3 linked regions of the Oreochromis niloticus genome follow. The protein of the gene in region 2 interacts with the protein of the main gene of each other region in a biochemical or structural test. Links are inferred from orthologs where the notes say so. Each region holds a gene or a part of one and is shown on either strand. Other genes may lie near its edges. The genes, in order: nppb, npr2 and nppc.

The links.
Region 1: the proteins of npr2 (region 2) and nppb form a complex in vitro, tested with the Homo sapiens proteins (3 studies listed by BioGRID). The link is inferred for Oreochromis niloticus from reciprocal best matches to the Homo sapiens genes NPR2 and NPPB.
Region 3: the proteins of npr2 (region 2) and nppc form a complex in vitro, tested with the Homo sapiens proteins (3 studies listed by BioGRID). The link is inferred for Oreochromis niloticus from reciprocal best matches to the Homo sapiens genes NPR2 and NPPC.

Annotation. Positions count from the first base shown.
Region 1 is NC_031984.2:35,528,647-35,538,448, reverse strand, and holds nppb (natriuretic peptides B), read left to right. Parts: upstream 1-6,842; 5' UTR 6,843-6,934; coding exon 6,935-7,048; intron 7,049-7,436; coding exon 7,437-7,722; intron 7,723-7,805; coding exon 7,806-7,822; 3' UTR 7,823-8,000; downstream 8,001-9,802.
Region 2 is NC_031972.2:31,169,806-31,180,505, forward strand, and holds the start of npr2 (atrial natriuretic peptide receptor 2), read left to right. Parts: upstream 1-5,668; 5' UTR 5,669-6,024; coding exon 6,025-6,721; intron 6,722-10,700. Other genes in the region: alad (delta-aminolevulinic acid dehydratase), read left to right, coding at 231-289. UniProt on the Homo sapiens protein: Receptor for the C-type natriuretic peptide NPPC/CNP hormone. Has guanylate cyclase activity upon binding of its ligand. May play a role in the regulation of skeletal growth.
Region 3 is NC_031980.2:34,353,476-34,364,651, reverse strand, and holds nppc (C-type natriuretic peptide), read right to left. Parts: upstream 5,224-11,176; 5' UTR 4,805-5,223; coding exon 4,712-4,804; intron 3,615-4,711; coding exon 3,342-3,614; 3' UTR 3,317-3,341; intron 2,251-3,316; 3' UTR 1,685-2,250; downstream 1-1,684.

The sequences.
Region 1 (9,802 bases), on a different chromosome or scaffold from region 2:
TTAGTGTCAGACCAATAGCGGTGGTTTTGTTTGTTAACTTCACCATTCACATAAAAGTTTGCCTCATCACTGAACAAAATCTTCTGCGTGAACTGAGGGTCCTGTTCCAATTTTTGTTTTGCCCATTCTGCAAATTCTGTGCGCCGATCTGGGTCATCCTCGTTGAGATGCTGCAGTAGCTGGAGTTTGTAAGGGTGCCATTTGTGAGTAGCTAATATCCGCCGAAGGGATGTTGGACTAATGCCGCTCTCCAGTGACATGCGGCGAGTGCTACGCTGTGGGCTCTTGCTGAATGCAGCTAGGACAGCCACTGATGTTTCTTCATTAGTGACAGTTTTCTTGCGTCCACATTTTGGCAAATCCAACACTGAACCAGTTTCACGAAACTTAGCAAGCAGTTTGCTAACTGTAGCATGGGAGATGGGTGGTCTCGTAGGGTGTCTTGCATTGAAATGTGCTGCAATGACCCGGTTACTGCGTTCACCAGACATCAACACAATTTCGATCCGCTCCTCACGTGTTAACCTCTTTGACATGTCAATGGCTGTGAACAAAGAGAAACTTGTAAATAACTCATGAAAGAATAAAGTTACATTGAAACCAAGCACACCATTGTTTTTCTTGTGACATTAGCAATAAGTTTGATGTGTCACATGGCCCTCTTCCTATTGAAAAAACAAAAGTTGTATCCAAGATGGCCGACTTCTAAATGGCCACCATGGTCACCACCCATCTTGAGGAGTTTGCCCCCTCACATATACTAATGTGCCACAAACAGGACTTTAATATCACCAACCATTCCCATTTTATCATGGTGTATCCATATAAATGGCCCACCCTATATATCTTACAAAAAGAAGAAAAGAAGTGCTTCATGACTGATGGCTGATCCTGCGAGTGGGCAGGTAGAAGTACAACACACAGAAACAGTGAGACTGGTGAAATATGTGGCCTGACAAACACACAGTCAGTCAGGATTAAATGCCAGTCCCTCAGCCAACTAACATCTAACAGTTGGAACTGAATAGAATGGCATTCATATCATGCTTTCCTAACTTTTATTGACCACTCAAAGGGCTACAACCAAATATAAACAATAAAAAAGGTGCAGTTTGTTTTCACTCATTTGAATAAACATTTATGTGATATTTGTGTGATGAAACCAACTGAATGTTTACATTTACATTGTGTTGAAAACTACAATTATAAAATAAAACACCCATGAGTTGTGACAAAAAGTATTCGTTTGTGGTCAAGTATTTCTTACCAAAGAGGAAAGAAAGTACGTTGTACCTTCTTATCACTTAACACAGTTGTTGCTTGACCGTTATTAGAGCCTCACTTAAAGTTGCTACCGCAGTCAAGGGCAGAAGCTATTAGTGAAACGAAGCTAATTAGTAGTGAAGCTTGTCAGGTGGGCATGCATACACTCGTAGACTATTAAATGCATCCTTTAACTACTACTTCTCATTTTTTGGACCCACTTCCCCATGACTATTGTTCCAACACAGCACAACCACTCCGAACCATGTCAGGGCCTTTTTAAATTGTATGATTGTTTTAATCAGTTAGACACAAATACCTCAAATAATAAGAGTGAGTATCTGCTCAAACACTGGATCAACCTTCTGTTGTCATTAACTGGACGATTTGCAACAGTCAAAATTAAAGTCCACAGAATAATTATCTGTTCTTAATGCCCCCAATAACTCTCACAGACAACTGCTTTAAATCCCTCAATGCATGAGCAACAAAATTCTATCAGAAAAGCAAGAAACCCCAAATTTCCATAGCAACACTACAAAATAGTAATTGGCACGATAGATTAGAAGCACTACAAATTTGAATTACTATGTCAAAGTTACTGTAATCAACTAAAATATTTAATCAAATGGATACAAAAGGAAACCTACAATAACTCACGGATAGATGTAGATCTTAGGAAGTCAGAAATTACAAGTTGGTGACATCCTGGTGGAAAGCAAACAAAATCATTAAATTGTCACCCTCACCATGTATTATTGTCTAAAGTCTATCCTTTAAGCTCAGGTCCTCTACCAGAGGCCTGGGAGCTTGAGGGTCCTGCGCAGTATCTTAGCCGTTCCTAGGACTGCGCTATGCTGGACAGAGATCTCTGATGTTGTTCCCGGGATCTGCTGGAGTCACCGCACCTAGTGCTCCAATTACCACTGGGACCAGTGTTACCTTCACCCTCCACATCTTCTCGAGTTCTTCTCTGAGCCCTTGATGCTTCCTTTTTTCCCTAATGTTGCTGTCATTCAGTATTGCTACTTCTATTACTATGGCTGTCTTCTTCTGCTTGTCGACCACCACTATGTCCGGTTGGTGAGCCATCACCATTTTCTCGATCTGTACCTGGAAGTCCCACAGGATCTTAGCTCTGTCGTTCTCCACCACCCTAGGGGGAGTCTCCCATTTTGACCTTGGGACTTTCATTCCATACACAGCACAGATTTTCCTGTATAGTATGCCAGCCACCTGGTTATGGATCTTGAGCTGAGCGCTTGTTTCTGTGCTGCCATAATTAGTGCCTAGTTCAGCCACTGGTAGAATTTCTGGATTTCAGCCACTTCCTCTACATACCGTCTAGGGGCCTTTCCTTCCATGATGACTCTTCCTTTTGCTCCGCTTCTTTCTTGGGTTTCTGTTGCCAGAGTTATTCATTAAGCAAGTGGTCAGTTGTTCCCATCTTCCTGCAGCTTTCCTAGCAGCCTCTTCATGGTTCCTATTTGGCTCTGGGATTCCCAGGTACTTGTTCTTATTTTAGTGTCTGCAATGTTGCCTTCTGGTAGAATGATCTCCTCAGTTCTGACTACCTTCCCTCTTTTTGTTACCATCCAACTACACTTCTGCAGTCCAAACAACATCCCGATGTCATTGCTGTAGATCCTCACGGTGTGGATCAGTGAATCGATGTCTCATTCACTCTTGGCATACAGCTTAATATCATCCATGTAGAGGAGGTGGCTGACCACTGAGCATTGCTGTTATGTGTTGCATCCTTTTCCCATATGCTCTTCCAGCACTGCTCCATCTCAAGCCTTGGTGGTGGCGTTCTCATATTGTTCTCTTGCCACTGAGAGTACACCTTGGATGGTTCTGTGGAGAACAGCTGGTTTATTGTCCTGCCCTCTATCTCTCCGGTGTACCTCTTCAAGAGGCTGGCCAAGGCTGTGAGTCTTTGCTTGGCAGTTTCCATGGCCTCAGGTATGAACAGCTTGCTGTAATTCTTAGGCACCTTCTTCATCGCACCTTTCTGCAGTTCCGATAGTTGGCTAACCTCCCTCCTGGCTAACTTGATCCTAGCCTCTGTTCTATTTCTCCACGGAGGGTACTGCTCCTTGTGGCTATTCATTTTGTAGCCAAGCATCTCACTGATCACTGCTGCCGTGGTGTAGATCAGCTGGTTAGTCTCGGTAATGGTGGCAGTAGGTATCGTCCGTAGTGCTGCATTCACATCATCTAGTAGACCTTCAGAGGGTACTTCACTTAATCTCGTCAGGTTGGTACACAGCTGACAGCCCTATTTGACAACTGTTCAATTATTGTCAGACCCCTAACAAGATGGCGCCTGTTATTGGCAATGCCACTGTCAGGGTCTCTATTTTTCTGTTTTTTATGGCATTACATATTTTGCTGCTGTCTGTGTATGAGATTACAGCTACCTACGTTTAAACCTTATTTCAGATTAAGTTAGCAATGGAGTCTATGGATGAAAATGGGAAACACTTTGGAGGCTTCCCTTCACCATTTGGGCGATCAGCTGTTACCCATAACCTCCAATGGTTGCTTGTGTTATGCAGACTCTTTCCCTGACAAAGAGTCGTCAGGGGAAGTGAGGAAGGAGAGTGGGCATCCAAGTGAGATTACAGAAATACAAGAGTAGCGGTGATTTAGCGTCCTTCTTGGCGCTCCCGGTGTTGGATGTTTTAGCTAAAACGGACCTCCAGCTGAATGTATGGCTTCTCCGCAGAGGTTTTGGCAGGACACCGTGTTTGAGACCAGTTTTCCCACACCATGTGAGTGACCATTTCATTGTCCCACGGCTTATGAGAAACCATATGAAGTCCTGGGGAGTGTACAGGGCACACTTGCACCAAGCCCCTTAGGATTTAACCAGAGATGCTTCAGCCTGGCCGATTAAGACGACAATATTAAACTCCTGTTCAATCTCAGTGAATAGCATTGTCTCTCCTCCAACTCCGTGTACACCTGTCTTTTCAGATATGGATTGCAATGACTTTTAAAGATTTTTCCAAGATAAGATCAACCTTAGAGGAAACATGTCTCCCTTAGATAGCCCCTTCAACTGTGATCTCCCACACCCCATAATTATGGAATCTTTTCACCCAGTTTTGTTAAAAGATCAGAAATACTAACTCAAATGAAACCCTCAACAAGTCCAGCTGATGTCTTACCTACTTCTCTGTTTCTTAAAGTTTTTGACACCACTGGGCTCTCTCTGGTCACATTGAAAAACTGTTCCCTGCTACCTTGCTCTGTCTCCAGGTGCTTTAAACAGGTGGTTATTCAACCTCTGCTGAAAAAGCTTAACCTGGATTTGACACTTCAGACAAGCTACAGACACAGCTCAAAACTTTTTTCATTACTACAGTATCAGAAAAATCATTTGGTCACAAGTAAAGAAGGCACTGGAGAAGGATAATATTCTTGATAACTTTCAACTGGGTTTTAGAAAGTTACACTCCACAGAAACAGCTCTCATCAAAGTCACAAATTACCTTTTGATGGCCGCAGACATGGGTGACCGGTCAGTCCTTGTTTTATGGGACCTTAGCTCAGCCATTTACTGTTGATCATCAGATCATAATCTACCGCTTAAATCATATGGTAAGGATATCTGAATCTGTCCTAAAATGGTTCCCCTCATTTCTGGCGGATATAACACTTTTGGTTTCAGTAGGAAGCTTTCAGTCAGATGAAGCTGAATTTTCATGTGGAGTTCCACAAGGATCGGGTTTAAGCCCCTTGTTATTTTCATTATATATTCTGCCTTTAAGCCTTATCATTAGTAGTTCCAAAATTATTTCCTACCATCTGTATGTAGACAATATCCAACTGGACATCTCCTTTAAACCCTGTGAATTAAACAAATTAGCTGTTCTAATGGACTGTCTTAGTGCGATTGATGGTTGGATGACAAACAAAAGACTGTGTGTTTAATTCTTGCTCCAGAGATTATCAAGCCCTAAATCAGGCAACATCTGGGTTCTTTCTCATCCACGGTAAAAGCTAATGCTCGGAATCTCTAGTTAATTTTTTTTTTATCAATCTCCGTCTTTTGATATTCATATCAATTCTGTGACCTGCTCTCACTTTTTTCATTTAAGAAATATCGCCAAACTCATGAGTATTGTCTCCAAAGGTGAACTGGAGATGCTTGTTCATGCCTTCATCTCCTCCCGATTAGATTATTGTAATGCACTCGATTACTGGCTTCGCTGGCTGGCTTCGCTGCCAGCCTCTGTCACACCAGTGGCTCTGTTTAGATGATGGGCTCCTCTCCGGCCCCAGCCACTACTGGAATAGGTAATGCATGATTAAATGATGCTTGTCGGTTGTGAAGATCAGCCTCCCCTGCATCCACACCCTGAACCCGCTGCTCCACCCCACCACTGCTGGATTCACCTTCTTATTTGGATTCAGGGCTGAACCTGCTCTCATCTGCAAGGAAATTTGAGGTACCAATGGTAGACCTGCTAGTTCTAGTGTTTTCTGGGTCCATTCATGACAGTTTTGTCTGAAAAATGCACTAGTGGCTCACTGGTGGTCATTTTGTAGGACTCTGGCAGTGCTTCTCCTGCTCCACCTTGCCCCAAACCCAAATACTGTGATGATCCTTTCATTTTTTTAGAGGAGTTTATTCTGAAGTTACTTTGTTTACAAAAAAGTGAGATTTTTGTTGTTGTTGTTATTAATGAACTTATTGTTTTTCTTGTTTGTGTTCATTCAATTAATGAGGATTCTGTGACTTGGTGGTCCAAATGATACTGCTTCAATAATAAATACAGTTTTATTTATTTACACTTGCCAAAATCCCAGCAGTGAGTTTGACAGTTACTATAACTGCATGAAATATAAAAGACTTCCTGTACTTGTCTGTGTGAAAGCAGAGCTGAGCAACATCAGTCTTTTAGAGACAGTACTTCACCTAAATTCATAATCATTTAATTCACTGCTATATTTGATTAAAGTTATCACAAGGCAGTGACTTGTGAGTGATATGTGTAGTGTTTTGTTTTTCCTTTGCTTCTCACAGCAGGTCAGCAATGACAGTTCAGTTTATTCTCATACATATTCTGGATGCAACATCAATTCAAGAAAACACCGACAATTAAAAATGTTGTAATTATCCAAAGGTGACAGACTTTAAAATACGCTTTCAAGAAAAGAACATTAGGCAGTGTAAACATCACATCAGCAGATTGGACTCCTCATTTTTGCCACTATTCCTGCCACTAAAAGATGATCTCTCAGAACAATTATCAGCAGGCGACCGTACAACTATTACATATGTGTCTTCATTTAGTAACACTATCATGTTGTCACATTAGTTTACTACTTCCTGTAACTCAGTGACAACAGTGTCCCGTGTGAGGTGGGAAGGCTCTGGAGAATGTTTCTCAAGCAAAGTAGCATATGGAAGCAGCTATGTCATAAGAATACTAGCATACAATGCTTTAAAAGGAGCATTTTCCGACAGCTCGTGTTATCAGAATTAGGTGTCAGGCATGCCGGTCCAATTCCTGGCATACCTATGTGTGTTAACCTTAAGTATAAAAGAGAGTGCTGCTGTTGGCTCCAGCATCCAAACACCTACAAGTCAAAGAAGAAAAAGAGAATTTATCCATTCATCCAACTACTAACACGAACAGCAGCAACTCAGAGCATCATGCGTCTGTCTTCTATGTGGCTCTGTAGCCTCCTTCTCATTTTAAAGCTGCAGCTGACTAGCATGTATCCCATCAGTACTGGCTTGACTGACACTGACATGGACATCTTGAAGGTAAGTCTCCTCACACTAACTTTTTCTTGAAAAGGTTGAGTCTGCCTGGGAATTTTAGGCAATCTGTAGCAGCAACCAGAACAAGGAACTCAATTTTATTTATAGACTTTAATGTTAGTTATTCACGTAAGATGTTGAACAACATCCTGCATTTCCTTCCATAGCTGTTCCCAATATTTAGCCTTGATATCTCATGTGATAAAGCATAGAGTCTGATCATTTTCATCTTACCTGTGCTCCAATATTGCTTCTAATAATCTCAATAAACTGAGACATAAATTGTTGACAAATACATTTGAGTGCCTCTGTCTATCCTCATGGCATAGTTAAATTGCCATGTTTATTATTTAAGACCCAGTACAACTTTCATCTGTGTGGATCTTTAAAGGTGCTCCTCAGCAGACTGGAGGAGTCTGTTTCAGAACAAATGGCAGTGGACCAAAGTGCCCCTGGACAGAGGGATCTTCTAGACAGCCTGAGCACAGAGGACGCAGGAGATGGACCTCAGCCAGACGCTGGACTAGATGAAGCTGAAATCCGGGAGTTTCTTTCAGCCAAGAACCTCAAGAGTGTCCGCAATGATTCATCTAGGAGATCTTCTGGTTGCTTTGGGCGACGGATGGACAGAATAGGCTCCATGAGCTCTCTGGGTTGCAACACTGTGGGAAGATACAGTAAGTTACAGTAACTTCACTACAATAAGGTTAGAGTAATGTAGCACAGATTTAACTCTTACTCTCTTACTCTTCTCTTGCAGATCCAAAGCAAAGATGAAGTCTTACCATCTAAATTCCAAAACTGCAACGTCTCTACACAAAGATACTTTTATTTAAAGGCTATTTATTTACTAATATTTATTAAATACTGTTGCTCAGCAGAATATTTAAAAAAAATGGAACCAAAACTGTTCCTTGTGTACTGTTGAATGTTTTAATAAATGTTTACAAATGCAGGTCATTGGCCCTCATCACTGACCATCAGACACAGCCAGCATATTTCAAAAAGACACTAATGTACGGGAGACTTTTCCTTTGAACTGTCAAATATAAAAACACAAACTGAAACATGTAGTGTCGTCTTAATGAAGAAGCTCTTGTCATTCTGAGTAACTAGCAGGAGCAGGGAGCTCTATGCAGGACGTTTATATACAGAATTCATTTGATAACAGATTTATTTTAATGTCTTCATAAAAAAAATGATCTGACACAGACCGCGCATGAACATTAATGAATATCCTGAACTATTTATTGGTGATAATGATTTTCCATTCCCATTTATTTCACTGCCAGTGCATTACTGGTGATCAGCTGAGTAGTTTAGTGCATACGGTCTTAGCTTGGCACCTGATTGTGTCTTCGAGGTTGTTTAAAGGCTTTCTAACAAGGAAATGATGTACAGTGAATTACAGTACAGCTGAGCACTCCATCATCAGTGCTCCACTGATTAAAGCTACAATTACATCATCATCAGTGAATTTGAATTTGCTGACATTTTTAGAGGGTTCAAACCACCTTTCATGGCCACATGGTTTAGATGGCTGTTTGACTGATTGATATATTGATTGTTTCCAACAGATGTAGAGTGGCTTGCAAAAGTATTTGGCCCCCTTGAACTTTTCCACATTTTGTCACATTACAGCCACAAACATGAATCAATGTTATTGGAATTCCAGGTGAAAGACCAATACAAAGTGGTGCACACGTGAGAAGTGGAACGAAAATCATACATGATTCCAAACATTTTTTACAAATAAATAACTGCAAAGTGGGGTGTGCGTAATTATTCAGCCCCCTTTGGTCTGAGTGCAGTCAGTTGCCCATAGACATTGCCTGATGAGTGCTAATGACTAAATAGAGTGCACCTGTGTGTAATCTAATGTCAGTACAAATACAGCTGCTCTGTGACGGCCTCAGAGGTTGTCTAAGAGAATATTGGGAGCAACAACACCATGAAGTCCAAAGAACACAGCAGACAGGTCAGGGATAAAGTTATTGAGAAATTTAAAGCAGGCTTAGGCTACAAAAAGATTTCCCAAGCCTTGAACATCCCACGGAGCACTGTTCAAGCCATCATTCAGAAATGGAAGGAGTATGGCACAACTGTAAACCTACCAAGACAAGGCCGTCCACCTAAACTCACAGGCCGAACAAGGAGAGCGCTGATCAGAAATGCAGCCAAGAGGCCCATGGTGACTCTGGACGAGCTGCAGAGATCTACAGCCCAGGTGGGGGAATCTGTCCATAGGACATCTATTAGTCGTGCACTGCACAAAGTTGGCCTTTATGGAAGAGTGGCAAGAAGAAAGCCATTGTTAATAGAAAACCATAAGAAGTCCCGTTTGCAGTTTGCCACAAGCCATGTGGGGGACACAGCAAGCATGTGGAAGAAGGTGCTCTGGTCAGATGAGACCAAAATGGAACTTTTTGGCCAAAATGCAAAACGCTATGTGTGGCGGAAAACTACCACTGCACATCACTCTGAACACACCATCCCCACTGTCACATATGGTGGTGGCAGCATCATGCTCTGGGGGTGCTTCTCTTCAGCAGGGACAGGGAAGCTGGTCAGAGTTGATGGGAAGATGGATGGAGCCAAATACAGGGCAATCTTGGAAGAAAACCTCTTGGAGTCTGCAAAAGACTTGAGACTGGGGCGGAGGTTCACCTTCCAGCAGGACAACGACCCTAAACATAAAGCCAGGACAACAATGGAACGGTTTAAAACAAAACATATCCATGTGTTAGAATGGCCCAG
Region 2 (10,700 bases):
CTAATATACATTTTTATATTAGAAAATATACATTTAATAATATACTATTCTTGTAGATTAGGCTAGCAGTAATTAAATCTGCTTTCTTGTGGGTCAATAACAATCTGGTCTTCTGGTCTGGGCCCAAGTGAGGGGAAAATTACATCCAGTTTCTATGTAGCTTTAATTAAGTGTTAGTTCTGCTCTGGATTTGGGTAATATTAATAGCTTCTCCTTGCTCTTTGATGTAGGCGCTGACATCATCATCACCTACTACACACCTCAGCTGCTCACCTGGCTGAAGGAGTGAAGAGAGATGATCTGGACCAGAACAGAGGTGGACCAACTGACAGGGCATGCTCGCTAAAAACCCCTTTAAGGGGGAAAAAATGAATAAAAGACACAAATTGTTTCGTTTTGTGCCTTTTTCTATTGTTTATGATCAGTGTCATGATAGCAACTGAAATGGCAAACCGCACATGTATCCACTAATTATTTTTAAAGCGAGTTCAGTATCATACATACCTGTCTGAGCTTATCAGGGGCTGATATAGAGCCGAACGCTGAGAGTGTAAAAGCAGATTTTTCATTGTGACTTCTGGGTGTGTAGGATCAGCGTTAACTAAAGTCAGTTATCTCTACTAATAATATATCTGTATGAATCATCCTAAAATGTCTGATATATGTGAAGTATTTCCAGAGAAAATAAAGTCATTCACTCGGATCTGTAACTGTGTGTATTATTATTTTTAGTTTTGTTTTTGTTTTTTCCTGCTATGCAATCATATTACTTGTGTAACCCACTACTCTCATTATATAGGTACTTGATTACATAGATAATCTTATTACATGAGTACTCTGATTACAATATTACTCAGATTACCATAGTACTCTGATTATACAAGTAATCCGATTGCACCACTACTCACATTACATAGGTACTTAAGAGTATGTTTTTGTTACCAGACATAAATGTGGCTTGCTGTGACTAAAGTTTGGCTGTAATCAGAGTACTGTGTAATCAGATTACCAATGTAATCAGACAAATTGTGTAATCAAATTACTCGGGTAATCAGTGTATTTGGGTAATACTGTAATAGAGTACTTAGGTAATCAGATTACTGAGATAATTAGAGTAATACTGTAATCAGATAATAATAATAATGATAATAATGGATTGCATTTATATAGCGCTTTTCAAGAGCCTGAAAGCGCTTTACAATTCCACTATTCATTCACTCTCACATTCACACACTGGTGGACGCAAGCTACAGTTGTAGCCACAGCTGCCCTGGGGCAGACTGACAGAAGCGAGGCTGCCATATCGCGCCATCACCAGTAGGCGGTAGGTGAAGTATCTTGCCCAAGGACACAATGACCTAGACAGGCAGTCAGAGTAATGTGTAATCAGATTTATAATGTAATCAGAGTACTTGGTAATACTGTAATCAAAGTACTCAGGTAATCTGAGTACTTGTGTAATCAGAGTACTTGGGTAATAAGATTACCTGTGTAATCAGATTACTTGTGTAATCAGAGTACTCATGTAATCCGATTACATGTCTACTCTGATTACACAAGTACTCTGATTACACAAGTAATTTTATTACCCAAGTACTCTAACTAGGGCGACCATGGCTCAGGGGGTTGGGAAGCGTATCTGCAACCGGAAGGTCGCCGGTTCGATCCCTGGACTCTCTGTCCTGGTCATTGTGTCCTTGGGCAAGACACTTTACCCTACCGCCTACTGGTGTTGGCCAGAGGGGCCGATGGCGCGATATGGCAGCCTCGCCTCTGTCAGTCTGCCCCAGGGCAGCTGTGATTACAACAGTAGCTTGCCTCCACCAGTTGTGAGAATGTGAGAGTGAATGAATAGTGGCATTGTAAAGCGCTTTGGGTGCCTTGAAAAGCGCTATATGAAATCCAATCCATTATTACAGTGTAATCTGATTACCTGTTTAATTTCAGTACGTGGGTAATCAGAGTACCTGTGTAATCAGATTACTTGTGTAATCAGAGTACTTAGGTAATCAGCGTACTCATGTAATCAGATTACTTGTTTACTCTGATTACACAGGTAATCTGATTACCTAAGTAATCTGATTACACGGGTACTCTGATTACCCAAGTACTCAGATTGCAGTGTAATCTGATTACCTGCTTAATCAGAATACTTGTGTAATCAGAGTACTTAGGTAATCAGATTACTTGTGTAATCAGAGTACTTAGGTAATCAGATTACTTGTGTAATCAGAGTACTTAGGTAATCAGAGTACTCATGTAATCAGATTACTTGTTTACTCTGATTACACAAGTAATCTGATTACCCAAGAACTCAGATTACAGTGTAATCTGATTACCTTTTTAATCTGAGTACTTGGGTAATCAGAGTACCTGTGTAATCAGATTACTTGTGTAGTCAGAGTACTTAGGTAATCAGATTACCTGTGTAATCAGATTATGGGTGTAATCAGAGTACTTGTGTAATCAGAGTACTCATGTAATCAGATTACTTGTTTACTCTGATTACACAAGTAATCTGATTGTGCCACTAGTCTCATTACATAGGTACTCTGATGACCTAATAATCAGATTACATGAGTATTCTGATTACTGTATTATCTGATTACCCAAGTACTCTGATTAACTGAGTAATCTGATTACCTAAATACTCTATTACAGTATTCCCCAAGTACCTGAGTAATTTGATTACAATAATTTGATTGCAAGCAGCATACCTAGTTATGAGAGTAGTGGTGCAATCAGATTACCTGTGTAATCAGAGTACTTGGGTACTTAGGTAATCAGAGTAATCAGATTATTCAAGTACTCGGATTACAGCATTATTACTCTGATTACTACCAACTTTTTAGCCACAGACCAAGTCCAGCAATTTATCCAGAAACTTTGTTGTCTAGTAACAAAAATATACTCTTAACTCTAAAATCGGTGGCTGGCTTGTTGATTTGTTTAATTTAATATCGCTACATAAAGTCAATTGCCACCTACTGAGCTTTATTGTTTTTTACTTTTATTTAATTTAATGAGTTTCGTCTTGTTTTCTGGGCGATATCGGAACAGTAGGAATAATCAGAGCACTGAACCCGCAGTGTTTCTGGTCTACGGTGATGATTTTTGAGAGATTATCTCTTAAAGGAATGTGACAAACATGCTTCTTTTTCTGTGAGGGTTTTTTTTTTTTTATTGAATTGTATTTCTAACATACTACGATGCAATGAACAGTTCTGTTATAATGATTATGCCAAACAAGCAAAATTAATTCTATGGTTGTTTTTGCAGCGTATAAAGACCTTGACTGCTGTCTTTTGAGTCGCAGAAAAGGTGTTAAATGAATCACGAATGTCTAATTCAAGGTGCTGCAGTGTGGGTAGAGGTGATCACAGCTGTGCAGAAAAAAACCCCCTGTAAGATGCAGCATCAAAACAGCAAACAGCTATTTTAATTGCTGCATATAACCTCTTCCTGCCTCTTCACAAGCCACATTTCAGATTATTGTCTGAGGAGTAAAGTTCCAGCTGAGCGGGAAAAGCCATTACGGTAGAGTCAAATATCAAAGAGGTGTCAACCTTACTTAGTACAACAATTGCAAAACAAATAATTAAAAGAAGTAAACTTAAACTAGAGGTGGGCAGAGCGATCCAAATATCGATAGTATCGATACCAACACTAGTATTGGTATCAGACTGATACTAGCAAGTTCAGTATGCAGCCTGCTGAACTGTGTTAATTATTTCTTTGGAACAAATAAACCTCAAACATGCACTATGAAAATTGTGTGGTTTAGAGACCGAAAGGTTTACATTCCAGGTCTCCAAAAACCCAGTTTCAAAACACATGAAAAGCTGAAAGGTGTGTTTTGTAGTGTTAACTAATTATTGTGGAAAGTAACAATCACAGTGATATAGTGGTGATTAAAATGTGTTCAGAATTTGCAAACTGAGAATTCATCTCATAAGTCATAGCACACTCCTCTCGTCCAATTAGCTGCCTGAATATCTTTGGCAACACTGGCCCTGTATTTACTTGGTATTGGATCGATACCAAAATTTGTAGTGTGGCACGGCACTACTGTGAATGAGGGAAAGTGTGAATGCTGAATGTTTTTGTTGAAATGTCCAGGCAAGTATATACATGTTAAATGACAAGATATGCGTGTTCAAGTAGCTTCAATTAACACAATTTTTTGATTTCTATATGATAATTCTTCATATTTAAACAATAAGAACAAGTAGTCTGATGTCCTGTAATCATTTTGAAATACAATAGCACATTAAGTATCGGTTTCGGGTCAGTATCGTCGATACCACCCTGAATTTTACTTGGTATCGTATCGGATAGGAAATCAGTGGTATCGCACATCGCTAACTTAAACATTAATGAATCATTCATTTACAAAAGCAGCGATGAAGAGCCTGAATTGAATTGAAGAAAATACAGTATGTGTGTAGCTTTTAAAAAAACAAAACAAAGTGTTGGACATTTTATTCATTTTAACATTAAATTTCCTTCACAGGTTTTCTTGGACCCTGTCCACGATGCTTGATGAATATATCTATAAAATACCTATAATAAGTATAAAGTAAACACTCTATCTGCTTATCTATTACTTCAGTGTGGGAGGTTTTTTTTTTCCATATAGCCTCACATTTTCAGTTTTTGAACTCCCTTAACATGAAAATATTCATTATTTTACACATATAAGGAACTTTTTTACTCCATTTTCATCATCACGAGGCTCCTAAGCTTATCCTCCCTTGTAGATGGGCTTTTTTAATGCCCGGAATGAATTCTGTGACATTTTATACAAACACTCATTTTACCAAGTGAATCAAATTCTGGACTTTGCTGATCCCCTGTTGTGACCAGAACCCAACAAGCAAAACACAGACAAAGAGTATGTTTACTTTACTTACAAACAGGAACAATTTACCCTTCCAAGAGTGTCTCTGTAAATACACAGACTAGTAATGCACATGAGATACAAAGTGAAAAGCAAAAACAACCAAAAATCATAACCTTTAAAGCTAAGGAGAATGAAAAAAACCTGAAAAAGTTGTAGTTTGGTGCCCAAAACAGGAGCAGCAACGTTCAGGTGTAACATCTGCAGACTGAAGTGACTTCACCAGCTCACCTGAAAGACCTTAAATCAGTTTAGTAACACCAGCACCTTAAAACTGACAGTTTGAGCAGCCTCAAGAACAGTCCCAAACTTATTCCTTCTAAACATGCTTGCTCTGTAACATGTGACACGGCAGGCAGGGGGCGAGCTAACTCCGCTTTTTAATGGGCTGTTTCTTCATACACTGCAAAAAATACCAAATATTTTAACAGGCGATTTGACGTGTTTGGATTTGTCATCTTCTGTGAACACTTCACGTGTATAATCGTGACTCAGGGCACCTTCTTCTTCTTCCTGATGCAGTTCATTTTACTTCATCTTTCCAAGCACATAAGTGACAGTCAGGGTCTGCCGTGTTTCATTTAAGTGGGCACAATGAGGTTTTTTAGATTTAAAATGTATTATAATCTGTATTGGAATCATCTTAATTCACTGAAACATTAAAAATTACCTGAATAAAGAAAATAAACTGGGACACGCTGATTTATTGACACTGTAGGGCCCACTTCTTGCAGTGTGTGACGTGTGGGGGCCGAGCAGAGGGCTGCTCTGATTTAACTTGGAGTCATCTGGATGTGTGTTATCACTCTCCGAGAGACTGTAAGCGTAAGGACTGCGCAGCTCTGAGAAAAGTCGCTTTGGAAGTACCACGAGTTCATTAGCGGTGGATTTTTACGCATCGGAGACGCATGGCACAACCGGACTGCGATGACAAGATGACGCATTTACCGACTCTGTGGCACTTGTGATTGAGAAAGAGAGCGAGAGAGAGGGAGAGAGAGAGAGAGAGAGAGAAGGAGACAAAGTGAGGCAGACGGTTTGGTGTCAGGTTGCCACATCCGGCCGTGTCTTCTCTCCAAACGGTGCGCTCTCCGTTGCCGTGCGCTTTCTCTTTGGGACGAGAAATGGGATGCAGAGGCGCGCTGGGATGCTGCGTGCTCGCCGCACTGTCTTGCTGGCTCCTTCCCGGCTGCAGAGGTAACATAACCGTGGCCGTGATGCTCCCGGACAACCACCAGAAGTACCCGTGGGCTCTTCCGCGCGTCTTCCCGGCACTCCTCATGGCGCACGAGGACCTGCACGTCAAACACAAGCTTCTGCTCGACCGCTCCATCAACATCCTGAACTACAGCACGGAGGACCCCGCGGCGGGGTCGTGCGCCGAGAGCCGGGCGCAAGTGGTGGCCGTGGACGCCAAGCTTTACATCCGCCCGGACGCCTTCTTCGGACCCGGGTGCGTGTACCCGCTTGCCTCCGTTGGGCGATTCGCATCCCACTGGAAAATCCCGCTAATCACCGCTGGTGGACCCGCGTACGGCTTCGACAAGCGGGAGGAGTACCGGACCATTGTGCGCAGCGGACCGTCCACCACAAAGCTGGGGGACTTCGCCAACGTCCTGCACACGCACTTTAACTGGACGTCCCGGGCAGTGGTGATATTTTACGACCGGCGGCAGGACGATCGGCCGCACTACTTCCTCTCTGAGGGGATTTACCTGAACCTGAAGGAGCAGATGAACATTACAGTGGGGGCCCACCCGTACCAGGAGGACTACAAGTACCACAAGGATGTCATTACTTTTATCAAGGAGAGCGGGAGAAGTAAGTTCATGCTGAGGGAGGTGTGATTAAAAGTTTGAAATCTAGGAAGTTAAAAATGGGTATCTTACAAACCAACAGAAACACCAGCTCTAAAAGAGTATGATTAAAAACCCCAAAACATTTTGTGTGTGTGTGTGTGTGTGTGTGTGTGTATCTTTTTTTCTGTGCGTTTTTATCTTGAAGTAAAGCAGATCTCCAGCTGGATATTATAAAGATAATGTCAGTGGATGGAAAGCGAAATTTCCATCATACTGGATGATCTGCATGGGAAACAATTTGGTTAAGTTTGCCTGCATGCAGATTTATTTCCCAATTGTTTGAGGGGGGGAAAAATCTATATTCGAAATGATTTAAGTGCATCAGACCGTTGTGGAAATAACTAGATGTCCACAACAGGCATTTTGCTTTTTCTCCCAGAATGAGGTCACAGTGAAGTTTTTTCCTAAGAAGATACAAACAGAGGTGGACTGGAATAGGTGCAGGGAAAGCCTGTTTACTCGGGAGTTATTACACAGGAATGTTTAGGCTGTGGGCAGTCTGCTGCTTTGGGTTTATTGCCTTGTGGAGGACCACCACCTGTGTTTTTTAAAGACACACAGAGAGAGGGAGAAAAGTTGTGAGTAAGCGTGTGTCCTTGCAGCCAAACAGTGCTGCTTGCTTTGTAATGAGAATATAAAGGAGGCTTACAATCAATTCAGCCTGGTCAATATTTGCTGTGCAGCCAGTTAAGTTAGGTTTATATCAATTATTTAAAAATCACGTGGAGATAAAGTTTCCAAAGAGAAAAAAAAATAGCAAAGCTGTTCGGGGGGTTTGCACAGGGACCCGAAAACAGCGACTCCCAGTTCATGCAGTTTAAACTACTACATTACTGTGCAAAAGTCTAAAGCCACCCCCCATTTATTCATATTTAGCTAGGACAATAGGAAATTGGTGCACACATTTATTGAAACTTGTGCAAACTTACATATAAATACAGTATATAAATCAAAAAAGAGTTTGTATGAGTCTAACAAGCTTGAAAAATCAATATTTGGAGTGACCACATTTGTTTTTTAGCACGCCTGAACTCTCTTAGGAAAGTTTTCTTTTAATTTCTTTAAGCAGTCTTGTTCTCCTGGCTTCACGAAGGACGGTCAAAGCTCTTGTTTGGATGTTGGCTGCCTTTTGCTCCATTCTCCATCAAGATAATCTCACACTGCTTCAGTAATTTTGAGATCCGGGCTCTTGGTGAGGCCGATCCATGACTGATAGTGTTCCCTTGTGTGATTTTCTATCCAGTTATGCTTTTACTGCATTGAGAATCTGCCTGGCATCATTGCCATCCTGAAGAGAGCACCGTCCTGTGTTAATCCCGCCATCAAGCTTGTCACAATCTCTAACATCCCTCAAACCACGATAGAGCCCCCACCGTGTTTTACAGATGGCTGTAGACACCCACTGTTGTACCTGTCTCCTTACCTCTTCCAAACATTTATCTGAACCAGAAATTTCACATTTGGGTTCATCACTTCCTCATACCTGTTGCCACTTTTCACTTCAGTTCTTGTGTAATTTGATGTCCCTCAGTCTTTTCCCACCCTTATAAATGGCTTCTTGACAGCCACCTGTCCTGAGATCCGTCCCTTAAGTTCTGTGTCCGGTCTTTGTTCTCTCATCTGTTTTAGATAGTGTTTCAGACTTGTCCTCAAAGCTTTTAAGGTCACACTGCATAGCATGCTAAGTATGCATATAGAAGCCCAACTTGTTGGGCTCAAAATACTATGTTATGTCTGTTGAACTGTGCTATTATTCACATTTTTTATTGCTTAAACTAAAGAAATGAGAACATTATGTGTTTTTTCAACAGGTTGCTGGTAATAAAGTACCCAACGAAGATTATACTTCTTTATACTTCTTTGCAAAGTTGTCAGTTATGTGTAGACACAACACTGTTTCATCCCTTTAGCTAGGTACCTTTTTTAGTCCTGGAATGATTCGGAGGTCATGTTAAGTGGTTCACCAAATAATAACTTCTTTTTTTTTTCAAAATGGTAAGGTGAAGGACTGGATGGAAAATTAGTGAAAAAGCAGCCAAATGAAAACTTTGAAAGACCTCTATCACACCTGGAGAACTGCTGCTCAAGATAGGGTTAAAAAAAACTGACAGAAAAGTCTGGCTATATGACTCGAGTCTTTTGCACAGCACCTTATATAAAATATAGATAAACCACTGAAACTGTTTGCTAAAAGTCCAAATAAAACTGTAATCTAAATTTACTGGATTAATAGTTGAAATGAAGTAACTGGCTAACATTTTCAACATAAAGTTATAAATAAACAGTAAAAACTGAAACTTCTAGCTAAGCTGATGATATGAAGAGCTGTTAAAGCTACAAACCGTACATAAATGGTTGAAATAATAAGCTTACAGCAAAAGTAGCAGCAGTATAGTAATAGTTGCTAGTAGTACAGGAATGGACCCCCGCGACCCTGAAAAGGATAAGCGAAAGCGAATGGATGGATGGATAGTACAGGAATGGAAAGCTGAAAGTTGTGCAGATACAGGTTTAAATGAGTTTGCTGAAAATGAAAAATGTTGAAGAGAGACGTATTTTGGAGTCCAGGGCTGTGGGTGTAGAGGAGATGGAAAAGGTTGGGGTCCACTCCACGTTTGATTAAATTATGGGGCATTATGAAACATGAAAACACAGTTTTCCCTCAGTGGAAACAAACAGAAACAAACTGCAGCCAGTAGAAGAGCTGGAACAAGACGATACCAACAATGCCACGGTGTCAGCAGACTATTAGATAGACTTAAAGCTTCAACCTTGAAATATTTTGTCCCACTGAAAAAACCCCCCCATTCATCTAGACGTCAACAAATCATAATACCGCTATTTCTTTAAAGGTAGCAGAAGGAGGCCTTTAAATCTCTCACCACTCTTCTGTCCTTAAGCTTTACGAACTGGAAATATCATGAGGCAGACTTGACGATTACTGCTCTTGTGAAAATGCATTTGTGTGGTTGAATGTCTTCTGAATGGTAAGGTTATCATTGGATCAGTCAACATTTTGTTCTTCACTTTAGATAACATATTAGATCCTAATATGTTATTTAAATATTAAATCATATTAGAATTTCCAACTCTTATTTTTAAGTCCTTCAACCCAGTTCTTCATCTGTACAGTCTCATTTGTATTGATACGCATCCGTGTACAAGAAATAAGTATTTTCCACTTTTTAAGGGATGAAAGAACGCAGTGTTTGGAGGTTGGAGGGGTTTGGTGGTGGATGTAATCATTTCACTCCATGCACCAGAGAAAACACTTAAGTTGTATCATTTTAAATACGTTATGTATGCATTATTAATTTAAAATATGTTATCATTAAAGACTATTTGGCTGTATTCAATAAAAACTATGTCGCTAGAAAATAAAAACGACTTGGTTATGCTACAGTCACACAACAGAAAACAGTGGATATTATTGTGACCGTTTGCAACAAACTTGTGATCTCGTTGCCTGTGAAATGGTTGTTTCTAGAATAGTGACGGGTCTGCAGCAACTTGCAATCAGTTGCTGTTTTTAAAGCGACTTTGGTGTGCCACGACGGCATTAAAACAGCAGTAAGACGGAGTCAGTGTGCTAATGACAATTACGTGTTTGTGACAATATGGAAATTAACTGTGATAAATCAGCAAAAAAATCACAAATCTTTTGCAGAAATTCACATTAAACAGAATTTTACATAATGACATAGGTACTTGACAACATCTCTTTTATCTACCATATAAGAAACACAAATTTACTGCCGAGTGTTGGAAATCTGTCTGTTTAGAATCTAGATGTCAGTTATTTCCATATTTCTGCAAAAGTGTCTGAAAATAATTGTGGTCAGTCAGCGGTCTGTGTCAGACTGAGTCTGTTTACAGACATGTTGTCCACTCCACCAGGTAACCTGTGCATTTGCTTTGAAATTGGTAGCCCAGGGTGATTG
Region 3 (11,176 bases), on a different chromosome or scaffold from region 2:
GTTTGCAAATCGGTATCAACCTCAAAGTCAGCACACATTCACAACACTCACACCGTAAATATCATGTTTCATGGTATTAGAAAGGAAATCCTTGAAAAGACTTTTACATTGACTTTACTGTATTAATTAGCTTGTAAAGTGTTCTCTCTGTATTTTTCTGGCTCTCACCCCCTTTTGTGTAATTACACCATGAAATCTTTGAGCAATGGACCTTTTTAGAGTTTCACAACTGAGCACGATTTGTTATCTTTTTTATGCTTCTTTATTATAATCTGGGTGTGTTTGTTTTCCTTTTTAATATCGCGCGTATATGGCCTTTTCTCTATATGCTTGTCTTGTTTTAAGCCTTTTAGTTTGGAAACTACGAGATAAAAAAGCCATTTTGCTTATATATCATCTTTATATAATGTTAAAGTATGTTATTCCTGCAACAGTTTGGCTGTCTGTGCAGGATGTACCCTACGGTACATCCTGCGATCGTGGCTCAAGAGTTGGGAGTTCGCCTTGTAATCGGAAGGTTGCCGGTTCGAGCCCCAGCTTGGACAGTCTCGGTCGTTGTGTCCTTGGGCAAGACACTTCACCCGTTGCCTACTGGTGGTGGTCAGAGGGCCCGGTGGCGCCAGTGTCCGGCAGCCTCGCCTCTGTCAGTGCGCCCCAGGGTGGCTGTGGCTACAACGTAGCTTGCCATCACCAGTGTGTGAATGTGTGCGTGAATGGGTGAATGACTGGATATGTAAAGCGCTTTGGGGTCCTTAGGGACTAGTAAGGTGCTATATAAATACAGGCCATTTACCATTTACCATTTACTCCCCCCTCCCCATGATGAATTGGAGAAGCATAAGAGAATGGATGGATGGATAATTTTAAGGTGAATTTACTGCTTATTTTAAATAATATCGCTCTTAAATTTACCAACTGGTAACTGGATGTAATGTGCAACAGAATTAGAGGAACATTAGGAGGAAGTGGCTTTCTATCATCTTTTTAATTAGTGGTTTGGGATTACAGTGTTATTGCCTGAATTCTAAAGATCGCTTTAAGTCAAAATGTAAATTTTCAGTGTTTTCTTCTATTTGTGCAGCAAATTTGTGCAAGAGCTTTCAACAGTGTGGGTAGATCATGCTAGGTTGAATGCAGCAGTATAGATGCAGCACTCAACAAATCCTTATTGTTTCATATAAACATTTTATCTGATAACACAGAGTTTCAGATATTTGCTAATGTTTGAAACACTTTTTCAAAATCCAAGCAGCATAAAATCTTTAGTAAATGTTAAACTCTGGCTCTCTGTACCAAAGTGTGCCTTTTGTAACATCAACCCAACCGGCTACAGCAGATGGCTGCCCCTCCCTGAGCCTGGTTCTGGAGGTTTCTTCCTATTAAAAGTGAGTTTTTTCTTCCCACCATCAACAAGAGGGGGTCGAATGATTGCTTGGTTTTTCTTTTCTTTCTAATATTGTAGGGTCTTTACAACATAAACCGCTTCGAGGTCACTGTTTCTTGTGAATTGGCGCCATAGAAATGAAACTGAATTGAACTGAATAAAAATGAATGGCGCTCCATCTAACAGCAGGGCAGTCGTTGTTTCTCTTCTGACAAAACCTCCAGAAGCCAGGCAGAAAATGCTCACCAACTAGAATTGACTAGTTTCACGGAACACACAAAGACACCGAGATCAAAGATGTAAGTGCACATGGAATGTCCGTTTTATCGTTTTTGAAAACATTTACAACTATTTGAGACAAATGGGAAAAAAAAGGCAACAAACAGAATTGACCTACAGTTTGCATCCATTTCCAAAATGTTACATAAATAAAATTCATATTTATAAATATCTCTTTTTTTTATAAACATATAAATAGATTTTAAACATAAATACATTTATGCAGGGAAAGATGAAGTACATGAATGTACAGCAGCAGCAGCAGCAACAATATACAGCTTTGCGGTATGTAGTTTTTACACCATTGTCCGCCATGTTGTACTACGCATCTGTGTTTGTATCTGTTGACCATGTTGTATGGTATACATATATGTACTGTATATATGTATATATACCTGCATATTTATTGTATATATATATATAGATCTATATTAGGATTTTGTAGTATTGTCATCCAAGTCTTTGTTTATGCTGGTCATGGTGACTTTCGTACCAAAGAACAATCATGATGAGTTTTTCTATATTTTCCCCTTCTGGTAAGAACAAACTCAACTTTTGTCATCCAAACAAACACATCGTCCAGAGATCTAGAAAAAGAGAGGAAAACAAAAGCAAAAGGTTAGTCTTTCAAGGTCAGCCTAATGAACACATGTTCATTTATTCGCTCTTTTCTTAACGTAATACGTGTATCAGTCAGGGAATCTCCAAATTTACTTGTTGGTTCTTTACTCATTAACTCACTTCTCATCTAACCACTTTACTTCAGATTAACTCACCCGTATGGTGTTAACCAATGAAAAACACACTCACCCATTGTTAGTCACTAACACTCCCCCATACGGATTTCAGAGTTTACCATAAAATCGAAAAAAGGTGTGAAGCCTCAGGACTAATCGTGTGTCACTTAGATTCCCCAATCCTTAATTAACCCACACAGCCCCCTTTTCAGTTTATGTTAAAAACACTTAGTGAAACAAATGCGTTTCCAAGAAAGATCTTGACAACCAAATATGTGCGTGAATGTGTCTCTGCAACCCCACTTCCGTCCTCGATATCTCCCTGCCCTTTTTCTTAAATGTGATATATTGTTCTTGTGTTATAGAAGCAGATGGGATCATTCATGATGATGTGCACAGATACAAGAGTGGACTTCCTAAATGCTCACTGGTTTCTTTCCCATACATCAGCTTAAGTGGGCTATCCACTTAAACTATCCTAAGACTATCCTGTCCTAGGAGGTAATGCTACAAGGTTAAGGCTTGATTATTTCCCTAGATTGAATATTTCTATGTCAAAGGCAGTTAGTGAACCACAATATTTTCCATGTAGCTGAACCATGCAATGCTGCATAAATACATGTGTCTTAGGTATATGACAGATAATCCTGTAAAATCATCCTTTTAACGTGAGGAATACCAACATGAAATTATAATAAATAAAATATTAAAAAATAAATTATTATGCCCATTTTATTAACCAGGCCATTCTTTTTTTAAATCCCTGATTGTAATTCGTCTCCGTCTTGTCTTTCAGCATTTATTCTTTCATTTCATTTCACCCTGTTCATTCTGGGCTCTGTTTACATGTCACTGTTTGTGGCTGCAGTTAGTGTTGCATAATGTTAAAGTGGGACTGATATGAGCGACCACTCACCATTCATTGCAGCGCTGCTCCAGCCCTAGCATCCCATGCCGCTGATGGTGCCTATCCTGTCCATCTTGTGTCCGAAGCAGCCACTCCGTGACGAGGAGCCAGCCTTCTTGCTTCCCGATTTGTGTTTCCTGTTTGGGGGTTGATCGTTGAGGAGACGAGCCAACATGCCTCTGGGCCGGGTGTCCACCCGTAAATCGCGCAGTAAGCGTATCCGAGTGCGCACAGCGTCGAGCCGTCTCTCCCTCTCCTCCGACTCCAGAAACTCCGCCAGCTCCTCGCCCAGCAAACTTCTAAGAGACTGAAAGATAAGAAAATAAATAAACAATCTCTCCCTCAGGCAAATAAATTGTGCAAAGACAAATGCTTTTGATGAAAGTGAAATCTATGGTTTGTGCCCGTTTCAGCAGAGCAGTCATTATATGCTAAATGTTTGAGGTAAACCTCAGCTTGGCATATATTCTAACGCTTTCACAAACGTAATGGCCAGGGGGGAAAACGCGTTGGCATTTTTCTCACAGCACGGCACTCAAAAATTCATTAACTTGTATCATCTAACCAAAAACAACTTTGGGAAAGATCCACGAGACGCTCCAGTCATGAGGTTCAAACCTCGAAGGAAACCCCTGAAGAAGGGAACATCCCGAGAGGGTGCAGTACTTCTGTTTTATTAAGTTACCTACTCTGACACCTCGCTCTCAAAGTGAAGAAAAAAATAAACAAACTTAAAACAGGTGCGTGTAGCTTACTTATCTGTTCGTAAAGTAGACTGTAACGAAGACCTCCAACATTCCCAAATTTTAGTGAGTTTAGCAAATAATTACAACATTATTTCAAACGAGTATTTTTTAAAGGGTCAGCTTTATTCATTCGGGCCAATTCTATGCGTAATTGCGATTTTACGCACAATTTTGTTTTGGTTTGGTGAATCTTATTTTGACAACAATTAATAAATACATAAAATTCCAAAAATGATGTTGATAGTCAGTATAATCGCTTTTCAGAGTTATTGTAAAGCAAGAATTTTAATGTTTTCCCCATATGTGGTTTCATTTAAAAAATCGCATTGGGGCGATTTAAAGTCTAAAAATATCAAAGGGATGCTCGGAAACAAACTTTCACCGGCTGTTTCGGTTGCATGTCACTGAACATGCCGTCTGTTTGTAAATAAAGTGCAAGTGGACAGGGGTGTTACACTCCGAGTGTGGAAAAAGACAGATTTTCCCCAACAGCTTAACAAGAACCAAATTGTGAAATATGATGCGCAAAGCTACTGTCCTGGAGGACCTGTGCCACAGATCAGCTGCTTATTCAGTATTCAGCTTCCAGCAGCTTTAGTCCAAACCAATCAAAAGGTTCTCCTAGTCAGTAATAACAATACAAGTGACTTTTTCTTACCTTCTGCTGCGCTTGAGTTAAAGGTTTTGCCCCCATCCTCACTGAAAGTAAGGTGACCATAAGTCCACATGCTACAAAGTATGACAAGTTCATTTTGACAAGTCTAGCAGTTGTTCGGGGATTCCTCTGCGCTGCAGTTCAGATCGAAGGACGTTAGCTTCAGCCAATCAGCTTCTAAACACAAGGAGAGTCCGTTTTTTACTCCAAAGCTCCTCAAGTGCTTCTCTAACTCTGTGTATTAATCCTCGCCGCTTTATAGCCAGCCCATGGTGATGTCATGAAAACCTGCGTAATGGTTCTCCTTCCTCGCCTATTCACTGTTTTTTGTACCTGCCTCTAAGCACGTCACGCCAGGGATTAATTAAATGATACAAGCTCCGGTCATCGCGGTGTTAGAGAAAATGATATAGGCTATAAGCTATCAAAAGGCACAGACTTTAAGCTTTTAGACCTCTGGCTGAGATGCAACAGCTGAAACCAAAGGTGGTTTCAAAGGCTGCGCGTCAAGAGCTGAAGAGCGACTTTGGCAGTGAAATGAATTCTAGGATGCCAACCGCCTGTCCTGCGGAACATCTTAAAAAGACATACAATATGCTGCGCGTGGATGACATATCCTGTTTTCTTTAACGAAGCGAAAATTCAGAGTCTGCTACTGGAATTAAAGGAATTAGGTCATTTTTTAGATACCTTCCAGAAATTCAAATGTGATTTTCTTCATCTAATCACTTTTTTGGAAGGCACCAAGCGGAATTTTACCAGAAATAATGTGATGTGTTACTGCGCCACTCAAGCCCCGCGTTTTTCATTTATTTATTTAAAGGGTAAAACTTTATTATTATTATTATTATTATTATTATTATTATTATTATTATTGTTATTATTATTATTATTATTATTATTATTATACAGAAGAATGCAAACATACAGAGATGGAATTATTAAACAACCCAGTTTAAGTCATCTGCTCGACGTTATTTACATCAGAGCATGACATCAGCTAAGGGGGATTCACACCGAAAAAACTTCAGACGGTTCATGCTGATTCATAAAAAAACAGAGACACTCATTATAAGTCATGTCATGTGTCTGGATGTAAATGGCAGTTCCCCATAAACCTTTTAATTAGATGGTTTTGTGTTTCATGGGTATCTTACAGTTTGTTTTCTGTCTTTAGATCAGGTAGCCCACTTACAGAGAAGAATCTCAGAACTACTGTGGCTACTCCGACACACACTGGATGTGTGGAGCTGTTTAGACAGTCACCTCCAACACAGAAAGGAGGCTGACTGTTCAGTAGCATAACTGTACAGTGTCCAAGCACCATACAGAAGCACAGACATGAACCCTAAGCAATGATTACCACACCAGTGTCCAGCCATAATTTATGGTGTTATACTGTTCTTGAATCAAAGTTGGCATGTCACTAAGAAAAGCTGCTGCTTTCTTAAATTTTAGCCTGTGAGTCTGCAGAGTGCAGTCAATATGCAGGATATTAAACCAGCGATACTTCTATAAACCAGGAGGAGGGTGACTCTGCACAAATGAGTGAAACTGTACAGAAGTCTATATGTCTATACTTACTTTAGGCTTAAGAATTGGCATTAGCCGCTGACTTCAACCAATGAGTGACGATGGGTTTTCATACAGACTATGTTACTTTACCACAAGTCCAGAGAAGAACAGTTGAATGGGTGTCGGTATAAAATCTGGTGTAAGAAAAAGCCTTTATGACTCGTAGCCTTTCAACCCCTCTTACTGGTTTAGAGAATGCCAATCAACAAAGAGCACTCTCAAGCTATATTCTTCTATACATCATATCAATAAATGAATGCTTTTTCATGTTTAAAGTGTTACAAGTAAGTCTTACCGGAAAAAATTACTGTAGCACTAAAATGTATAAAAAATCTAGCTTTAATCTGCAGCTGGGGATTATTTTTTTTTAACATATAAATGAATGTAGTTGTATTTAAGCAATTTGCACCAGGTTTGTCTACTTTTGGCAGAAAACCAGAGTTTTTAATTTAGTGTCCAGCACTGCTGCACCTGTTTTATGTCAACCAGTAATGACTGGTTAGCCAGAACTGAATAAAGGAGCTGGCTATAGGGGCTGGGAATACGGTGGAAACACCTTGGAAGTGTCCAAGAAAAGTTTCTGATGCTCAGGATTTTAAAAAAAGGAACTCTGTGAGAGAGTGACCCTTCTGTAGAAGTGTGACACATGCATGAGTTGCTTCACTGTCAGGGTTGAGAGAGTAGTTCCATGTTAAATCTAAAAGTTTGACCATACGTGTTTTAAACAGTGTAAACCAAGAAAGTTCAACTATAAAGAAGCGTTTTTTGGTACTGCCTGACATTGATGTATAGTTGCCTAACACTCGTAAGCTCACCCACGGTTGGTTACATATGCCGCTTGACCTGCTTTAAGATATGCATAGAACTGTCACTATTAATTTGTGATATGCAGTTAAAATGATGATGATCTAAAAATGTTTTAAAATAAGTTGCAATCAATCACTATACAACTTAAACGGCATGTTGTCAAGGGAAGTTTAAGCTGAAAAGTCACCCCACTGGGAATAATTTACCTATTTAAAGAATATGCGCACATTTTGAGACAATACCAAAACCCTTGTGAAAAAAAAAATATACTTTTTGCAGTGTGGAGTGTTTCTGGAGTAGTCGAGGCCCCACATAGTGGAGCAGAAAGCTCAGGCAGCACCATCTGTTTTGGAACACAGAGTGGCAGTATTTGCTATGCCGAAAAGCGAATACCCCTCAAAGTCACATGTTAGTGGATCAATACTATACTGTAAAACTAAGTCATTAATCAGCAGATCGTCAGGATTTGAAAGTCCTATAAAGGCTTTTTAGAGCAGGTTTGGCATATGGAAAGTGTATACCTGCATTTTTTTGCAGAACATATATCATATTTATTGTAGCAGTGCTGGCCTACCTGCCATAAAATGTCAATCAGAACGTGTGTTGAATTTGCATTGAATCAAGCAGCAAAAATGATGTTTGGATGGCAGCCAGCAGCAGTGTCATTATTAGGTGTCCATGTTTCAGCCTTTGCTGAATACTCTGCTTTCTTTTTGGTTGCACACCATAAAAAATGATCGTTAATAATAATAATCACTTATGGTGTATATTAAAGATTATGACTATGAAGGCTTAATAAAATACTGTGTGTATAATTAGACAACGTTACTTTGATAAAGCATATAAAGTAAATGGTTTTGCCCTATAAACTCATAAAACAGAGACATTGATAAACTGAACAGATGAACAAGATGACTGGCCAGTGATATATGATGTTATAACAGAGCAACATGCATCCAGACTTTGCTTCTCTTCAAAGACAGGACAAAGCATTACAATGTCAATTTTCCTTCAATCTAACAAACTTACTACACTCATCACTGTCACTACATGCAGAAGTTCTCTTAATTGCTTGAAATGAAAGTAATGGACTTGTTTTGGCTATATAAAGCTATAAAAAGAAAAATATAATGAAAGTTTTTATAGCACTCTGAAGTCGGAGCAGTGCAAAAAAATAAATAAAAATTAAAAAACAAGAGCTAAATATCGGACTTTGCAGACTTCAAGTTCACGATAGTACAATTAGAAAAAGAGTAGAAACAAGTTTGGAAGAGCTGATGGGAGAAAACTTCTGTCTAAAAAGCACATGCCAGCACAGCTTAGGTTTGCAAAGTTGCATCTGAACAAACCACAAGACTTCAGGAACAATGTCTTTTGGACAGATGAGACCAGAGTGCAGATGTCTGACCATAATGCACAGCATCACACTTGGCAGCACACAGCATATCAACACAAAAACCTTATACCAACTGTCAAGCATGGTGGTGAAGGGGTGATGATTTGGGCTTGTTTTGCAGCCACAGGAGTTGGGCACCTTGGAGTCATTAGAGTTGAACTCCTCTGTATACCAAAGTGTTCTAATCCAAAGTGATGCCATCTGTTTGACAGCTAAGGCTTGGGCCAAATTAGGGTTTGGAACAGGACAATGATCCCAAGCACAGCAGCAAATCTATAACAGAATGGCTCAAAAAGAAAGGAATCAGGTTGAGGTTTGGACTTTGCCATGGTCAAAATCCAGACCTCAACCTGATTGAGATGCTGCAGCGAGACCTTAAGAGACCTGTGCATAAATGAATCCCAAAAAACCTAAACGAACTAATGTAATGTTGTAAGAGCTAGACAAAAACACTTCCACAAAAATGTAAAAGGCTGATAAAGACATACAGAAAACTTCTGTTCCTTAAGTTATTGTTACTGAAGGCGGTTCTACAAGTTATTAAAATTACAGGGTGTTCTTAGTTTTGCGATAACTTTATTTTTCACAGAAAAAAAATCATAACACAAATGATCCAATACAAATATATGGATAAATGACTCATGAGTTTAATCTAATGTACTGTGCTCGAGGGTGATCTGACTGTGATATTTTCACTGATTCCCTGGTAAGGTTTTCTTTAAAGTCATCTTCAATTTTAACCAAAACCTCCTGTGCTGACATTATATTTACTTTCTGAAATGACAGTAATAAAATCTGCCGGAGTAAGGTAAGCTGTGGTGATGATAAATAGCTCTTAATTTTGCCTCAATCAGCCCAACTTGGCCCTACCTCTCTCCAGCACTGGATCCCCACAGGGCTGTGTTCTCAGCCCACTACTGAACGCCCTGCACACCTGTGACTCCAAAAATTTAATTTAATTTATTTATTTAGGACAGTGCATGTTAATGAACATAAATGTAAAAAAAATTACATGAATGTAAAAATACCAGATTATAGCCAAGGGCTAATTTCCATCTGTTGTCCTTAAACATAAAAACATAGACATAATAATTCATAAAAATTCATCATTCATTCATAATAAAAACTCCATCACCAAACTTACACATACACACCATTCTGTTCCCAAATAAAACATTAGAATTATACAACTTATACATAAACAAAATAACCTGAAGCTGAACATCCTTAAAACAAAAGCGCCCATAATGGACTTCAGGAGGTACACATTAGTCCACTCCCCTCTTATTATAAACAGAGAACGGATGGGATCTGTCTCCACCTTCAGGTTTCTGGGCACCCACCTCTCCGCCGATCTCGCCTAGGCCCACAACACCAGCGCCCTGGTAAAGAAGGTCCAGCAGCGGCTGCACTTCCTCTGTCCTGAGGAAGAATAACCCAGACCAGAAGCTGCTGATAGCCTTCTACTGCTCCTCAGTGGAAAGTGTGCTCACCTACTGCCTGGGTATTTGGTAGGCAGGGCCCACACCTGAGAACAGGAAGGCTGTGTAGAGGGTTATTAACACCACCCCTGAAGGCCACTGCCAGGTCCTCCTGTATCAGGAAAACCTGTGCCATCACAGGTCACCCCTTGCACCCTGCCCACAACCTGTTTTACTGCTGGTCCATGTTGAATTAAATAAGTTAGTAAGAGTAACAGGAAAAAATGTAGATGAAATTTGTCGTCAAAACATTTGTACTCATGTAGTCCCAAAACAAACTAAAAGATTTGAAGGTTGTTCCTTTCTTATAAAAAAAATGTTGAAATAAAGTAGGCTTTTTAAATCATCAACAGGATGTACTTTTCTGACATGAGTCACACTGTTACATCTGAACTTTTATTACTAGTTTTTTTTTGTTTTAGTTTTTTTCACAGTGTTGATGGCATTTATATTGAAGCATGTTACTCTTTAGTGCAAAAAATAATTTAAGCTGAAACTAATCAACACACGTGCATCACATCACATTGCATATGTGATAGCATACTTATATGCGAGTGGTGCTTCAATAAAAATATGTTTTTAGCAGCTACTGCTGCTAAAAAGGCCATTCACACTCCAAGGTAACTGCAGTAAAGATGTTCAATTGCATGGAAAACCATTTTACTAATCCGCTTTTACAACAGCAATACAGAGCAGCTGAACTCTGCTGACCTTGTGTCCATGATGACATCTTTGGGTTTCGCAAAACATTTTTCACTGATTGCTAATCCCTTTATTTTGAATTTTAACAAGTGAATGACACATTCTTTCTTCATGTCGCAAGTGTTGTGTCACAAGTTTGCCTTTTTTTGTACAGTTTAACAATGTTACACACTTTTCCCAATGACATCACACGGGTTACTGAGAGCACCTATTTTGCTATGTCCTTTTGTACTTCCCCCTTTTTCTCCCTGCCTTTCCCGCAAACTCTTATCCGCTCAATTTTCAGTAAATTTTTAAGCTTTGATGTGGCTGAATGAAAATGAAGCAGCCTAACTTACTTGCACCAGGAAGCTATGCAAACGTATGGAGAGACCATGTGTTGCAGTAGCCTTTGCACTGAGTGTCTATGGGAGGGTTGAGTGTCTTGATTCCTCCTCTGGGTTTGTGTAAGACAAACTACAAGGCTGTTATGGTCCTATAAATAACGGTTTTATTGCGTGTGGAATT